Linked DNA regions of Tribolium castaneum. The protein of the gene in region 2 purifies or fractionates together with the protein of the main gene of each other region. This does not show direct contact. Links are inferred from orthologs where the notes say so. Each region holds a gene or a part of one and is shown on either strand. Other genes may lie near its edges. The genes, in order: protein FAM98A and tum.

The links.
Region 1: the proteins of tum (region 2) and protein FAM98A purify together in Homo sapiens (co-immunoprecipitation; 3 studies listed by BioGRID and IntAct, with this or other methods). This does not show direct contact. The link is inferred for Tribolium castaneum from reciprocal best matches to the Homo sapiens genes RACGAP1 and FAM98A.

Annotation. Positions count from the first base shown.
Region 1 is NC_087394.1:32,799,174-32,803,361, forward strand, and holds protein FAM98A, read right to left. Parts: upstream 2,753-4,188; 5' UTR 2,620-2,752; coding exon 2,582-2,619; intron 2,535-2,581; coding exon 2,329-2,534; intron 2,277-2,328; coding exon 1,783-2,276; intron 1,682-1,782; coding exon 1,481-1,681; intron 1,432-1,480; coding exon 841-1,431; 3' UTR 743-840; downstream 1-742. Other genes in the region: alanyl-tRNA editing protein Aarsd1, read left to right, coding at 3,154-3,192, 3,239-3,367, 3,515-3,767, 3,815-3,942, 4,034-4,188. UniProt on the Homo sapiens protein: Positively stimulates PRMT1-induced protein arginine methylation. Involved in skeletal homeostasis. Positively regulates lysosome peripheral distribution and ruffled border formation in osteoclasts.
Region 2 is NC_087394.1:20,766,255-20,769,818, reverse strand, and holds the end of tum (rac GTPase-activating protein 1), read left to right. Parts: intron 1-1,222; coding exon 1,223-1,348; intron 1,349-1,395; coding exon 1,396-1,680; intron 1,681-1,732; coding exon 1,733-2,130; intron 2,131-2,180; coding exon 2,181-2,313; intron 2,314-2,364; coding exon 2,365-2,525; intron 2,526-2,582; coding exon 2,583-2,637; 3' UTR 2,638-2,836; downstream 2,837-3,564.

The DNA.
Region 1 (4,188 bases), about 12 Mb from region 2:
TTTTGCATTCCTGTGATCCTGATACGAAATCCATTTTTAAAATTTTGCAGATTTTCACCCAAAATTTCTTTCACTTATCAAAATTTTTATAAAAATTGAACAAAATCTGCGATTCACAAAATGCGAAATATCTCCGTTCCTGTTGGAAATAGAGGGGTGGTTCTGCCCTTTTAAAACCCCTACCGCCCCGTAGTATTTTTCCCGGGCTATCGAATAGGCTAGGTCCCGTTCCCGTATCTCCCTCAGGAACCGAGATAGCACTGCACATTTTTAAATCGGGAATCGAAGTACATGACGTAATAGTGCTTCAAAAGTTATGTAAGCATGCAAAATTTCAAGTCGCTACGACAACAGAAAGTGTCCCATATTTAAGTTCAAAATATTAATAAATCCGAAAGGCAAGAGAAGACACTTTTCTTTAATTTTTACAGGTTATTATTAACTAAAGCTTAGATTAAAAATAAATAGATGGCGCTAAATTTACAGGTTACTTTATATTTTAGCTTTAATTTAAAGCGTATAGATGGCAATTAAAACATTACAGATTACTGTAGCATTGTACTTTTACATCCAACATATAGATGGCAACACTAACAATTTTAATTTACTTTTGGCTTTATTGCATAGATGGCGCATTTAATTTTTACCTTTTTTTGAATTTACTAGCTTTAGGAAGTGAGTTCTTCAGTTCTAGAAACTGTTTTGGATGAAAATGGAAATACTATAAAATCAAACTTCAATATCGATTCAGTACTTTTATTAAATATTTAAATACATTAGCAATCTTTCAAGTGTTAGTGCTAGTTTCAAATAACTGCAAATAATGATACAGCACAATTTTTAATAGTGATTCCTGCCTCCCCTGTTGTAATTCGAGTGTCCTCTGCCTCTCCCTCTGTAATTCCCCCTCCCGTGATACTGCTGATTATGCTGTTCCTCTTGCACATACTGATCAGCATAAGTCGTTCTATTTTGTTGAAAGGAATCGTAAGTTTTCGGCCTTTTCGAATTTTGTTCATAGCTCGTGGAGTAACTACCTGCACTATCAAAATTCCTATTATCGTAACTACTTTTATTATCGTTATAACTGCCTTGGCCGCCGCCGTAACTCCCCTGTCTCTCGTTATTATAACCAGGGTTGTTATAACCACCACCGTAACTTCCAGCACTGTCATAACTGCGCCCCTGGTTATAATTGTCGTAACCGCGACCGCCGCTTTTATAATTATCATAACCACCTTGATTACCAGAGTAACTTCCACCGTAACTCCCCGAATCTCTTGAATAGTTCTGTCTGTTGTCGTTACGGGAAAAGTTACCGCCGCCTCTTCCTCGACCGCCCCCCGAGGGCCCCGGCGTGCGCTGCTGCCAAGAGGGCATCTCCGGAGGGGGCGGCGCTTGCTCAGAGGTTCGGCCTCCACGATCAGGAACCTAAAAGTTTTCTTTGGTGTTTTTTTCTTAAACAAAATCATGGTTTTACCTGTCCAATAATGACTTTATTTAGTGACGATTTTGTGTTTTTGCGCACAGACGAGTTACTTGTCTTTTCGATAATTGCAATGTCGTCTCGTGCGGCTAATAAATCAGCAAGTTCAACTTCCGGTTCCGTTTTCAGGCGTTTCCGCTTTTCGGTGTAAACTTTTTCAAATAACTCATCTTTGCCTTTCGTTTTATCAGACCACTGCAACAACAATTGAATATGAAACTTATGTATAGATTGCAAATGAAATTTGTTTTGAAGTAATAAATAAGAATGGAACAAATGTTAAAATTAGTGCCCACCTGAAAAGACTGAATCGTAACATCCAGCCTTGTTAGCAACATCTCTCTTCTAATTTTATATTCATTGTTCAAATCCTTCTGAACCCCATTTAGTGTTTCCCACTGCTTATCAGAAAGTGTTCCTTGAAACGCAGGCTTTCCAACTAATTCACTTCCAACTTTTTGAACAATACTTTGCACAGTTGGGCAAACTTTTTGGAATAACTGTGGAATAGTAATGTTTGGGGGCGGTTTATGAAACCTCAGAGTCATTAATATCTTCCTCATATTGGCAGCTTCTTCAGTCTCTTGCTGCAAAACTTTATCAACAATTTGAAAATTGCGTTTCGTTTTACTTACCAGTTTTAGCTCAAATTTTTTATCGGGCTTTTTCTCTTGTAGTACTCTTGCGGCCATCAGTTCAGTAGCCAAATAGTCTAAAAGTAATAATTTGTCTTGGTGACTTTCCAGACGGTCTGAAATATGGCCCTGTGTTAAGGCAACGTAGGGGCAGTCTGTAACCATTAAATGTGAAAAAATTGGCAAAATACAACAAAACCACCGCACTCAATTCTTTCAGAAAAGAACTAACTTCCATAACAAACGATACTGAATCTTCAGGGCCTGATATTGGATTGACTTCCTCATCGATATTAAGCAATGCGCGTAGCTCGTTTGTTAAAAAACTGACTAGCTTGGTGAATTCCACGTTTTTTGCTCCCTCCTGCAGGGCAGAATCAAAACTAGCCTTCTCGAGAAGGGGGCCACAATAACTGCAATGCAAGTTAGACCTGGAAATTTTTGGTTGGGAAATAATTACCCCAGGTCCTTCAGTCCGTCTAAGAGTTTCTGTTCCATTGTATTAATTAATACTATGTCTTACTTTTGCACTAATATAGAGATTGAAGCCGGTTATTGAATTTCTAACCAATTTGCGAAAATGTCAAGTGGTCAAGCTGTCAAATATCGCAACGTAAAATAACGCAACATTTTTTACTTTTTTTTTTTTGAAAATTTTTATTATGGGGAAAACGTTTAAAAAACTCAATTTGCGTTGTAGCGAAGTAGTTGTTAAAAATTAAATATGCTAGGAAATTCACAAAATTGAGAATTACAGTGAGGTATTAACGTAACGTAATACGAAATGTCAAAACGTAACGTAAGTCGCAACGTGTTTTGTGGGGGCCCCGATGACTTGTTTTATTTTATTTGAACAACACGATAAGATTATAGATTATTAGATTTAATATTATATATTAAAGTCGCACATTTATATGTTTTTAAGAAACACCACTTAAAACACCCAAAAAATTTAATTCCATACTGTCAAACCAGAGCACGGAAGAGTTGCTCAAAAATTTACTAATTTGTAAAGTGATCGGTAATTCTAACATGGTGTTTAAGTGCCAGGAAGACAGCTTTTTGAAAGAGGTACCAAACAACAAATTTTAACTTGTTACATTAAAAATACTTGTAGTTTACTTCAAAAGTAGTCTCATGCGAAAAAAGCGAGTTTGACGCAACCGTTGACGGCAAAAACGTTAAAATCAATGGATATGAAGTCATTCTGGAGAACACTGTTCTATTTCCTGAAGGGGGCGGCCAGGTTTTTAATTTTTCGTGCACATATTCAATTAATTTTCTGGTCCTAGTGACTGAAATTAAGTTAGCAACATTGTGCCAGGTCACTTTGATCAGAAATTTAATTGAACAAACGGTACATTTTAATAACCCATTTGACTAAAAATTGCAGCCCTGTGACCACGGTTTTTTGAACGACCAACCCGTGTACCAAGTCATACGAAGGGGCGACAAAGCTGTCCATTTCATCGAAAAACCGCTCAATGTCGGTGATGACGTTAAAGGCATCATTGACTGGAATCGCAGACTGGATCACATGCAGCAACATTCAGGCCAACATTTAATCTCTGCTGTTTTAATCAGAGAATTTAACTTTGATACAATCTCCTGGTACTTGGGAGAAGAAGTGTCGTACATTGAACTAGGTATTTTTTTTTTTGGTTTGAACGCTCTGAATAATTTATGTTTAAAGATATACCGAAAATTACCCAAGAACAGATCGATCACGTTGAAAACATTTGTAACGAACTGATAAGGGATCAACGGCCGGTCGTTGTTAATATTTTCGACGAAAATACGCCCCCTGAGAAACTAGAAAATGTACGATGTTCTTTTATTTTTTGTAAAATCGTCAGACATTAATCATAAAAAATCAACTTTTATGCCTAGTCGTGTAAATGAATTATTTTAGTACCGCAGCGCTCGCGACCTACCAGCAGACCACGTGGGCGACATCCGCGTTGTTACCATTGAAGGTATTGACAGTAACATGTGCTGTGGCACCCATGTTACAAATCTGAGTCAATTGCAAGCAATTAAATTATTGCACTCGGAAAAAAGCAAGAG
Region 2 (3,564 bases):
AATTGTATTATTTTTGCCCCTTATGAGATAACTGATTCAGATTTTCGCGAGAATTTTCGACATAAGATCCATATTTTGTCTTATCCGAGGTTTTAAACACGCTTTTGAGATTAGGCTAAATTGTGATGAAACGTTACTAACTCAAAAATAATCCGGAAAATAACAAAATTTGGAATGTTAATTTTGTATTTAGCGGACGTTTATAGACGTTTTTAAAGAGTTTTTTGTTATGTAGGTGTAGAGTCTTTGTGTGTTTTAAGCACGTGTTTAAATTGAAAACTTCATTTTGAAATGGAGCATAGGCTTATTAATATTAATATTTTCAATAATATAAAGTCGCCCTGATTCTGTGAGATTATATGGTGATCATAAAATTAGTCTATTATGTGAAATGTAACCGATACCCTATTGAAAAGAAACCCCAGTGGTAAATTATTCTAGCAACTTTTCTAGCAACACCCTTGTCAAAGGGTCCAGGACGGAACTCAAAATAATTTGAGACCGCACAAATTAAATTTGTTTTATATTAAACAATGATAAAATGTTGGCACCTGATAATTTTCATGCTTGCAATCTGGTTTTACAGCAGTAATTATTTTCTTTTCTTAAGTGCTTAAGTGAATTTTGAAAACATTAGGGAAATTATTTGGAGCCGGACCTGGCCGGTGAAAGCAACCAGTCTAGGAGAAGTCAGTTTTTGCAAGGGCGCGTAGGTCTTAATACCTGCACAATAGATGATCCTTAGTAGTGGTAATGAAGTTTATTGTGGTTGTATAATCTTACAAGATCAGGGTTACTATAATAGTATATTATTATATGTGTTTTATAAGACGTTCTCTTGTAGCACGAATGGTTTTGGAGCACGACGAAGGGGTGTTCCAATAGAATGAGTGCCACAATTAAAACTTATAAAACGAGTGCAGTACTATTTTTTCTACTTTCTATTTTTGTTGTTTGTTTTTGTTTAGTTTAACTTATCAAAATCTGTTTAAACTGTTTCCTCTTATTTTTGTTAATTATTCGGGCTTTATGATAAGCGACTTGACCCAGCCACCCAGCCCAGCAATGCCAATACAACTTCTAAAAATTTACTAAAAGGAGTTCACAAGTTCTCTTTGTGAAACTACTTTCAGTTTGTTTGAACAATTTGTGAAACCAAAGTCGAAAAACATATTTTTGTGTTCATTTTTATACTGTTAATATGCTTGTTTTTTGGGATTAGATTGGAGCTGCTGACACCGTTAGAGCAACCACTACTCTAACTCTTAACAAAGATGGTCCTATTACTGCTACGTCTATTATCGAGTCCGTCCCTAAAACTCCGGGAGCCCCAGAATCGGCCCATACGGTTGTATGTTTATATTTGTTTGCGTTTTTCTTAATAAAAAAATTTAGGCCGACTCATACCCCAGTGCCCCTCCAGCAAACCTTGTTTTTGAATCCTGGGCTCGTGAAAGTCCGCGCAAAACTCACCAGAAACTAGCCGGCAAAGAACATTGTTTTCAACAAAAAACTCTTGTAATGCCTGAAACTTGCACATCTTGCGATAAACGAATCCGCTTTGGTAGGAGCGCTTTTAAGTGCAAAGAATGCAAAGCTCTGTGTCATTTGGAATGCAAGAACAATCTTCCTTTGCCATGTATTCCTGTGGTGCATACACCAAATCAACGAAACGGATTGGTATGTTACTAGAAATTAAAAGTAACTCTTGTACTAATGTTAACTTATGAAGGGGGTTATTGGTGATTATACCCCAACAACTCCCCCCATGGTTCCAGCTATTCTTATCCACTGCATAAACGAAATTGAATTAAGAGGGCTCTCAGAAGTTGGCTTATACCGAGTTCCAGGCTCAGAACGTGATGTTAAGGCTTTGAAGGAACGGTTTCTGAAAGGCAAAGGGGCCCCATGTCTTAATCAAGTTGACATTCCTGTGATTTGTGGAACTGTCAAAGACTTTCTCAGGGGTTTACATGAACCAGTCATAACTTACGCCTTGTGGAAAAAATTTGTACAAGCTGTGAATGCTCAGGACCCACTTGACATCCAACCAGCTCTGTATCAAGCCATATCAGAGCTTCCACAACCAAACAGAGACACTCTCGCATATATGATTCTGCATCTTCAGAAGTAAAACAGACAATTACAAGTGGAACAAGTTTAGAAAATTTTATTTTTAGGGTGGCAGAGGCCAAAGAATGCAAAATGAATATCGGTAACCTTGCCAAAATTTTCGGACCGACTTTAGTTGGATACTCGTCCGATAATCCAAACCCGAATAATTTGCTGGATGAAATCGTTCAACATAATATGGTATGTTTTGTTCTATTGCAGGTTCAAGTTTGAGACAAGTAATTTTATTAGGTAATGGAACATTTGCTTAATATCCCATCTGATTACTGGTCTGGTTTTATCAACATCGAGCCGACTTATCAACGTGGAAAATTGCAGCAAACTCCAAGCACTGATTCATTATTGCGTCCTATAGCTCCTAAAGGACTTTTCACACCAGTGAGCGCTAACAGGTTGTTGTCTCATTATAACAAATGCCCCGAAGTTTTCTAATTATTATTATTTTGCAGAAGTTGTGCGAAAAAGAAGCAGAAGTATTTTCCTTCACCCAAGAATTTCCGATAAATTATTACTTATTAATAAGTTTTTTTACATTTTATACTGAAGAAATATTATTTTCTAAACTTTAGCATCTTTTATATGCCTTTTAAATATACCACTGTATATTGTCCAAGTTGATTGGATTGGTTATTTTCAAACTAAGTGGTGTAAAATATTTATGTAAAAACTAATTACGTTAAAATATACCATATTTTGGACTAAATTTGATTATTACTTTGAAGCACCTTTCATTCTTGTTACAAGCAACGAGCGGCTTTTGATAATGGCACCAACAAAAGAAATACGTCGCATAATAATACTAATAATTATAAATACCGGGTGCTCAAAAATCGGCGCACCAACTCAATGGAGTGTGATGGAGAACTGCTTACACATAAAGGTAAAAATAGTAAAAAAATTCTTTATATTAAAGTTATTGATAAATGACGAATTTTAAATAAATGATATGTGGCAACGTTGTCTAACAGTCGTGATCGCAATTGAATTTGATCAACAATAAAAATAAATTATTTTTCAAACGGTTTCCTAGGAAATCATTCCCAGTGTTGGCACATCTGCACATTGTGATTTTTTCGATGAATTCTAATTTTTTTAAATTGAAAAAACTGCTAAAGTCTGTTAGTAAATTTAAAAATAATTATTCATCGTTTTGTTAGGTAACTATTACTTAGTGCGAAACATAAAAACATTAAAAAATAATAAAAACTGAAGAAGTTAACAAAATAAATTTGTCGTTTCAGATTTTTTAAGATATAACTTTAGGAATTTTTTCAAGATTTTTTCGATGATCTACACATGCTTCTCAACAACGTACCACTGAGTTGGTGCGCCAGTTTTTGAGCGCCCTGTATATAATTTACGTTATAATTATAATAAATTAAATAAATATATTATTATTATAATAAATACTAGCAAATATACGAATTATAT